Linked DNA regions of Rattus norvegicus. The protein of the gene in region 2 purifies or fractionates together with the protein of the main gene of each other region. This does not show direct contact. Links are inferred from orthologs where the notes say so. Each region holds a gene or a part of one and is shown on either strand. Other genes may lie near its edges. The genes, in order: Asf1b and Cdan1.

Region 1 (4,274 bases), on a different chromosome or scaffold from region 2:
ATGGCTCAGCATTTAAGAACACTTGCTAATCTTACAGAGGACCCAGCTTTGATCCCCGGCACCCACATAGTGGTTCACAATGGTCTCTAATTCCAGTTCAGGTCATCTGACGCCTTCTTCTGCAGGCACTGGGTGCACATGTGGTACATGTACATGCATGCTGACAAAATACACATGAGCAAACAAAAAAGATATACAAGTAAATGTTTTCTTCCTTTTTTAGGACTGAAGGAAAGCAAAGGAATCTGGGAGCTGGCTAGAGGTCTGGGCAGATAGTGTTTCCCATGAAAACCTAAATTCAGGGTGCTGGAGAGAAGTTCAGGGTTAGAATCTAGTATTGATCTTAAAGACCCAGGTTTGATTCCCAACACCCATGTCAGGAGTCTCAAACCAGCTAAAGAGGATCAGATGTCTCTGCCTTCCAGAGGCTCCCATGCATATGCCACCTCCAACATAGACACAAAAATTAAAAGAGAAGGAACGCACATGTGGTGGTGCACACCTTTTTAATCCCAGCACTGGGAAGGCAGAGACAAACAGATCTTTGACTTCAAGGCCAGCCTTGTCTACAGAGTAAGCTCTAGGCCAGCAGAACTATATAGAAACCTTGTTTCAAAAAACAAAAGGAGAAAACATCATTACTTAGGAGGATAAAATGGTGGATCCCTGGCTTACTAGACAGGTCAACTAGCAATATTGGAGCTCCAGATTTTATAGAGACACTTTCTAAAATAGGCAGGACAAGATAGAGACAGCCCATGGGTTAAGAGCATTGGCTGCTCTCCTAGAGGCCAGGTAAGATTCCTAACACCTACATGGAAACTCACAAGCCTGTAACTCCAGTTCTAGGACACCCAACTCCTTCTTTTGAACTATGTGGGTATCAGGCACTCAAGTGGTGGCATAAATACATGTAGGCAAAACATACACACACAAAAATAAATAAAATAAGGTGGAAAGCAATTGAGAAAGACCACTTGAAGTTTCTCTGGCCCACACCCACAGACAAATTAAAACTAAAAGATAAAATTTAAAAACAATCTGGACTCAGAACTCTGAGACAAACTTCAATGATAATGCTTCTACTATCTGGCTGACTTGGAAAAAATCACCCTGCTCCCATTAAAACATGACCAGCAGGCTAACTCTAGCCTTGTTCTGATTCTATAAATAAAGAATAAAAGTATCACTAGGCAATGACCATGCAACCATTTTTAAATGCAAGGAGCACAGACAGGCTGATTGAAACCTGATCTCTCAGCATCTGGGAACTGTGAATCCTTTAATCTATCAGCTCCTTATATCTCCTCTTGGCTTCCAAATAACTCTTATTCCACATCGTTACTCTACCTTTTATTTATTTATTTACACCCTGCCTTGTTCCAGCAAGGGTTTAACCCAGCTTATTCTATAGTGAGTCATAAGTAGATTCGTTTAAACTTAAAAAAGGGTAAGAAACTAGGGAGAGGCCAAGCCGCTGGCCCACTCCAAGCACACACATCCAAGTGAACAGGAGTGGCTGGCCCTGCCTGAATACCACTCAACAGCCACCAAGGGGCACTGGTTGCCACAACCTAGCCTCTCAGAGCTCTACCTCCTCAGCTGCTACATCCTTTTCAGCACTCAAAATGGTCTCCTGTTGTCCTATGTATGAGCGTCCCCAGAGGAGAGATAGGGGCTTCTGACTCCAGTCTTTGTAGGTTTGGTCTCCCCAGCTCCTGGTCTGGGTGAATGTACTCAGGTGAGGGTGCCACAGCCAGGCAGCCCTCTTCCAGTTTCTGAGATTTCTACTGGCTTACCTGAAAGCTGGACTTACCTCAAAGTGACCTCACATTTTACATGTTCACAGATTTATTTGAAAGGTCTTTTGCTCTTGATGGCTCTTGTCCTCTTATCTATGAGATGAGAGCCATGTCCACCTTTATGTCCCACAGATGAATTAAGTCATTCTGTGAAAGATCCACAAAAGCCAGTGTCCTCCCAGCTGATGAAAGTTCCATCCCATCCCTGTTTGGCCAGTCCACCCACTCCCCAGATGAGATCAGCCCATCAGAAGGGATGAGGGATTCCTTGCACTGAGTTAGCTGGAAGCCAGTAGAAATATCAGAAACTGGAAGAGGGCTGCCTGGCTGTGGCACCCTCACCTGAGTACATTCACCCAGACCAGGAGCTGGGGAGACCAAACCTACAAAGACTGGAGTCAGAAGCCCCTATCTCTCCTCTGGGGACGCTCATACATAGGATTTGGGACTAACCTAAAGAAAGAAGCCCTGGTATAGACAACACCATGCCGTTACAGTTGGCAAACAGGAGTTACTGGGGACAAATCTGGAGTTGTCTGGGGTGTTGCTGGGAGTCATGGGATGGAGGAGGTCTTGTCATGGGCAGACAGGGTAACAAAAGAGGAGGGTCTGGTTAGTTTGCAGGAAAAGGTATGCACAAGGAAAATGAGGGGACGGTACTGGAGGTTGGGTTCCCATAGGATAGATAGGTTTCCTATGGGGAAGGCATAAAACCGGGGTCTAGCCATAGGGAAGGCTTGGCTGATGGGTCTCCATGAACCCAATGGAGGCTGACACCTCTACAAGGAAAACGTGCAAGGACAAGCGGTGCAAGACGAGGGGTGACGAGGCCTCCACGAGACAATGCGGACTGTATAGAGTCGTATCCACCGAGGGGTCCGAGTTGGGCCATGGAGGCGTATTACTAATGGGAGATTCAGTTGGCCCAGGGGAGAGGTTCCCAGGGAGACTGGGAGTGGCACAAACGAGGGCAGGAGGGTTCGGGGTCCCCTGCACAGGCCCAGTCTCACCGTCAGACAGGGCCTCACTGCATTCGAAGCTGATCTCAAACCGGAAGGGGCTGTGGAAAGGGCTCGGGTTCTCCAGCACAGCCACATTCAGCACCGACACCTTGGCCATCACCTCGCCTGGGAGCCGCAGGTACTGTGGAGCCTTCTTCCGTGACTTGCTACAGAGAAGAAGGGGGTCGGCAGGACAGAAAGCTCGCACTGATTCCCAACTCTTCTTTCCGAAGAGCTTCTCCCGTAAGCGCGCTCCCTTCAAATAGCCGGCTCCGCCCTCCAGCCAATCGCCGCTAAGGATCTATGACGGCGCGAGCCGTCAGCCAATCCTGGGGCGTCTTCCGGCGCGCGCCTGGACCAACAGACCAATCAGAGACGCTCCCTCTTCACGGTCTACAGGAGGCGGAACGATAATCTCTTAGCTTCGTAAAGGTCTATCGGGAACCAATCCCTAGAGTCTCCGACTCGAATAGCTTGTACGGGTGGGCGGAGTTAGAGCGCGGAACTTCTCTTGTCCAATCCCAAGGGTTACCGCACCAGCATGACCCTCCCCTCGTTCCGCTTTTCCGGTAGACGCACCTCACAGAGAGCAGCGCCACCAACGGCCGAACGGTGGCGCGCGACTCTCACTAAAACGCGCAGAGGGGGACGGTACTTGCACTCCCAGTGATTGACTGTCGATAGAGGGCGGGGCATAGTGGGTTTCTGAGATGTGATTGGCTAATGTGGTGGGCATGAGGAAAGCTGGGCTGGAGCGCTGTGGAAATCGCACGCCCTCACAGTGAAAAGCATTAAGGAGGAAAAAGTGACTTAGGCCTTTAGGCGGCTGTCAGCAGGTGAGCGTTTTCGGGGACTACCCTGAGGGGTTCCTGCCTTTGTAAAAGACCGTTGAGAACCTTTGGATCACCCCGAGACAAAATGGCGCAGCGATGACGATGATGATGATGATGATGATGATGGTGGTGGTGGTGGTGGTGTGTGTGTGTGTGTGTGTGTCTGGGCTTGGTGGCACAGGCCTTTTATCCCAGCACACAGAAAGCAGAGGCAGGTAGGCCTTTGAGGCCCCTTCTAGGACAGCCAGGGCTACACAGAGACACCCTGTCTCCAATCACATTTATTTACTAGTTATTTTATAAGTACACTGCAGGTGTCTTCAGACACACCAGAAGAGGGCATCAGATCCCCCTTACAGATGGTTGTGAGCCACCATGTGGTTGCTGGGAATTGAATTCAGGACCTCTGGAAGAGCAGTCAGTGCTCTTTTTTTTTTTTTTTTTTTTTTTCTTTTTCTTTTTCATTTATTATATATGAGTACACTGTAGCTGTCTTCAGATACACCAGAAGAGGGAATCGGATCTCTTTACAGATGGTTGTGAGCCACCATGTGGTTGCTGGGAATTGAACTCATGACCTCTGGAAGAGCAGTCGGGTGCTCTTAACCACTGAGCCATCTCTCCAGCTGCCCCCCCAT
Region 2 (4,601 bases):
TGCAGGGACAGGTGTGCACATGACTGAGATGAGCACGCTGGCTGCAGACACAAAATCCATCTGAAGCATAAGGCACTGTGTAAGCCTAGATACGTATGGCAAGGTCAGGGGCTAAGAATCAAGATGATAAAAGTAAAGGGTGAAGACATGAGACTTCATGGAGCTGAGAGCAAGAAAGCAGGCTAGGAACATCAGCTATGAACTTTATAAAGGTAAGCTGTCGGGTTGGGGATTTAGCTCAGTGGTACAGTGCTTGCCTAGGAAGCGCAAGGCCCTGGGTTCGGTCCCCAGCTCCGAAAAAAAGAAAAGAAAAAAAAAATAAAGGTAAGCTGTCACGTATTGTTGTTATTGTAGTACACGGGGCTCTCTATATGGCCAGCAAGCACTCCAGTGGTCTATATACTTAGGCCTTTTTGTATTTATTATTTGGGAATACCATTCAATATGTTTCAAAGGCTGGCTTTGAATTTTCTGCAGCCCGGGCAGGTCTTTAAACTTGCAATCCTTGCTTAGCACCAGACCCAGTCATTTAATTTTTTTAAAGGATAAACTCATAGCCTTGATACAAAATTAAATGTTTCAGATGGGCCAGGAATGTTAGCGCATGCTTTTATTTCCAGAACTTTGGATAGACAGGCTGGCTAATCTATGCAGGTTTGAGCCCATCTTGTTCTACATAGGGAGTTCAAGGCCAGCAAGGGCTACATAGTATCACCCTGACTAAAAAAAAAAACAACAACAATCTCCTTCCCCTCAACAAAAGGTGCCAGGTGGAAAGGTCTAGGGCAACTGTATCTATTAAGCAAAGTCATGCATCCTACATGGCTAGAAACAGACAGATAAGACCCAAATGCCTCAGCTAGAAAAACTCACTGAAATTGATGCTCCAAAACCTGCACTGCAAAGAAGACACAATCATGGATGCTCCGAAACAGGGGAGTTTCCAGGGAATCTAGGCCAATAACAAACGGTTAGTTAAGAACTAACCCACCTGCAAACATCATTTCTTGAAATTAGACTTGCTTACTGACCTAGGGCACCCTGACTCGATTCAAGGTCACTGTCCTTGGTGGCCGCCATTCTCCGGGCAGTAAGGAGCTGAAGGACGAAGAAAAGCTCCAGGAAAAGGTTTGGTACTAGGTTCTCTGGATATAACGAGAAATGCCATACCATTGCGCACTACTGACAACCAGGCCAAGGCTCTGTATGCTTCATCCCCTCTTACTCTGTAGTTTGCATGCATATCCACCGCTGTCCCTTTGAGCTCACTCACCAGCAATACATGAGGAGTAGATGAGGGCTACCAGCTCGAGGCGCTGTCGAGAAGACACTCTGGCTGGGTCAGCAGGCTCTGCTGTGAGGTTTCCTGTTCTGTTGGGAACGGGAGACCCCGAGTCTGGGGCAGGGCAGGCCGGGGTAGGTGACTGCTGGAGCTGCTTGGATCTATGTGAACAAGAGAGATGTCATGATTACTCAGCCTGGCTTTCCAGTGACATTCACTTTCAGGTTCTGCCAGAGAAGACATCAATAGCCCAGAAAGCAAACCCAGAATCCGGAAGGGAGAAATCAAGTTCGGGAAAAATCCCCGCAAGTCCCGCACAAGGAGGAAGCTGATATCCCAGGTGGCGGCAAAGCCATACCGCGCCTTCCTGAGCATCTCCCGCTCCTCTTGCAGACTTCTGCACCCTGGGGGAAGGCCAAGGCCCCAAGGGCTAGTGTCCAGGGCTGAGGGTTGGGAACTGGGGACACAGCTGATTGGGGGTGAGGTGAAGCAGGTCTTGGGCTTGGACAGTGACCGCTCTTCGCTCACCGGAGTTGGGTTGATCCTTCGAGAAGGCTTCGTCCTGCTGAGAGTAGTCAGTTTTTTTTTTTTTTTCAAATTTCTATCTTCAAGTATCATCCATAACAGTTGGGGTCCCTTAAAACCCTCCCCCCTTTGTGGTTTCTTCGCCCTCAACCTTCTAACCATCGCGCATTCTACTGTGGGGCACCCAGCTCTGCTTTAGCGATTATCTTGCAATAAGGACCGATCCTCACCCTGCAGAGCCGGGCGGAACGGTGCCTACAGGAGGGAACTCCTCCAAGTTGCTGAGGTTTGGCGGATCTGAGAGCGACAGTCTGGGGCTGCCAGGGCTGCCTGAGCCCTTAGGCTTCCGGCCTCCGGCCCAAGGCGGGCTCTCGCTGCTGGCCCCCTCCTCGGGGCCCCCGGATCCCCGACCACCTCGTTCGCGGGACGGTCCCGGACCCCGCCTGCGGCCCGCACGGCGGGCCAGAGGTGCCTCGGCGGAGGTGCTGAGGGGCTCGGTTGCAGGGAAAAGCTGGCTGCGCGCCCCACGGCCACCCCGTGGCGGGGCCCCCTGCCTCGCTGGCAAGGCGGCCGAGGCGCCTGGGGTCTTGGCGGGGGTGGAGGGGCCCTGTGGGAGGACCCGGCTGCTCTGCTCCCTCAGGAAGTTCAGCAGGAACGGCACGAATTCCTTCCGCAGAGGCCGAAGTGCGCTCAGAGCAGCCACTTCGGAGCTATCCTGAGGAAGAAGCAGAGGTCGCGGGGCGAGAGGGTCAGCTGACAGCGCGGGCCTCCAGCGGCTCAGGCCGCAGGGTGGGCGGCCCGGCAGCGGCTGGCAGAGAAGCGCCCTTGGCGCGGGCCGACAGCCAGGGCAGGCTGGGAGAAGGGACTGAAGCAGCATCCCCCGCGGGAAGCACATTCCAGGCAGGTTTGAGGGCGTGTCCGCACTGTTACCTCCGAACTCGGGGTGCTGCGCGCGATCCACCGCACGGCGGCTGCGACCGGCACCTCTTCGCGCAGCAGCGACTCTAAAACGGCCGCCATCCCTGTCCAGGCGCTCTGAGGCTACTGCGCAGGCGCACACGCGCCACAGGCAGCCGGGAGGGGCGGAGCCAGCGGCCGGGGCGACCGTTGGACGACGGGGCGGGTCCTTGTGGGGTGGGGCTCAGGCGGTCCGGGAAGATCTGTCCAACCAGCTAGGCCTGCAGGGCGCCGAGGCGCCTTTCCCTGACTGCTTGGCCGCTGGAGCAATGTGATGAGATGGAACTGCGGCGAGCTCTGTGGAGACCCGGCTCCGAAAGAGAGGCCAGACAGGAAAAGTAACCAACTCTAAAAGACACCAGCCTATCAGACCAGACATCTGCCATAAACACAGCCTCAGACCACCGACTGTAGAGCTTTTTGAGTCACTCCCTCCTCAACCAAAATAAAGTGAGTAACCTTCTGTTCTGACCTTTTTGTTTTTCGAGACATGGTTTCTCTGGATAGCTTGGTCACTCTGTAGACCAGGCTGGCTTAGAACTAATAGATTAGCTTGCCTTTGCTCCCGAATGCTGGGATTAAAGGGGGTACGCCCGGCCTGCTTAGCTTTTTTCCCCCTTTACTCAAAGGCTGACTTTTTACCATTGGCCAATCTTTCCAATTGACAATTGAGGACAGAGTTCCTGCTGAGGCATCTTATAAAACTTATCAGATCATAAACCATTGAGGGTCCTTAGGAATTGTTCTAAGGACTTGTATTTAGTCCTTTACGCATTAAGGAGTTTATATCGGGTATTTCAACCTCATATTTAAGAGGTCAATATTCATAATTAGCTTCTGGAAGAGTAAGGCATTTCTGGACACACTCCCCCCCCCCATCCTACACACACAAACACACACAGGCACACACACATACACTCGTGCCCGATACACCTCCTGTAGGTCCCTTATTTTGAAAAATACAAGAGGCTTTCCGATGTTGCTCCTTGGTTAAAAAAACTCAAGATAGGGGATCTCATTGAACAGTTTCCGTCAAAGGGAAGCAGCACTGTATTAATATGCCCTGTGTTCCTCTCATTCCAAGGAAGAGCACTTGGCGATAAGCAGTAGATGCAGCAGGAATCCCTCTAGTATATCAGGGATGTTTGCTGAAGAGAAGAAAAGGAAGTTTTAAAAACTTAATTCTGTGCTGGGTTTAGTGGATGCTTGCAATTCCAGTACTTGGCAAAGACAGAATATCAGGTTCAAAGCCAGGTTGAACACAACACCTTCAGACCCCTAAACCCTGGTTTTCACCTAGCTTCTATTCAGTTAGCCCAAATGTCCTTCTCTTGGTTGTTTACTAGTCACTTCTGGTGTGGTGAATCTAACACTTTAGTAGTTTAGGAAATATTTTTCACTTTTTGAAATCCAAACCATGACACAAATAGCACTGAAGTTTGCATGCGGACTGAATGTTTTATTACTAGATTATAAAAATAAAATACAAAATAATTTTAAAACAGAACTTAAAACACTGTACAAAGCTTTAATATGGTACAAATGGGAAAATTAAATAAATAATTACACTTTTATGTACAGATGGCCTATACAAAAGCACTGCATGTTTTTCAATACTCTATGCCAGTGGTTGCCTGAGCAAAGACACATAAAGGGAAGATGCTGGAAGGAGAAAGGATACAATGTGATACATTGAAAAGAGCAATTTTTCATCTTGCTAAGAGGAGGACAGTAAAACATTGACTTATTTTTCTTGTTCAATAAGAGAATTCAGATTGTGACTAAATCTGATAACGTTTGCCAATAATAACTTATGAACTTATTATATTTAATACAA

Evidence for each region.
Region 1: the proteins of Cdan1 (region 2) and Asf1b purify together in Homo sapiens (co-immunoprecipitation; 5 studies listed by BioGRID and IntAct, counting the BioPlex papers as one, with this or other methods). This does not show direct contact. The link is inferred for Rattus norvegicus from reciprocal best matches to the Homo sapiens genes CDAN1 and ASF1B.

Annotation. Positions count from the first base shown.
Region 1 is NC_086037.1:41,097,268-41,101,541, forward strand, and holds the start of Asf1b (histone chaperone ASF1B), read right to left. Parts: upstream 3,086-4,274; 5' UTR 2,922-3,085; coding exon 2,813-2,921; intron 1,950-2,812; exon of another isoform or gene 1,817-1,949; intron 1-1,816. UniProt on the Homo sapiens protein: Histone chaperone that facilitates histone deposition and histone exchange and removal during nucleosome assembly and disassembly. Cooperates with chromatin assembly factor 1 (CAF-1) to promote replication-dependent chromatin assembly.
Region 2 is NC_086021.1:128,140,649-128,145,249, forward strand, and holds the start of Cdan1 (codanin-1), read right to left. Parts: upstream 2,873-4,601; 5' UTR 2,828-2,872; coding exon 2,738-2,827; exon of another isoform or gene 2,523-2,737; coding exon 2,038-2,522; exon of another isoform or gene 1,848-2,037; coding exon 1,641-1,847; exon of another isoform or gene 1,444-1,640; coding exon 1,274-1,443; exon of another isoform or gene 1,146-1,273; coding exon 1,032-1,145; exon of another isoform or gene 953-1,031; coding exon 874-952; exon of another isoform or gene 1-873. UniProt on the Homo sapiens protein: May act as a negative regulator of ASF1 in chromatin assembly.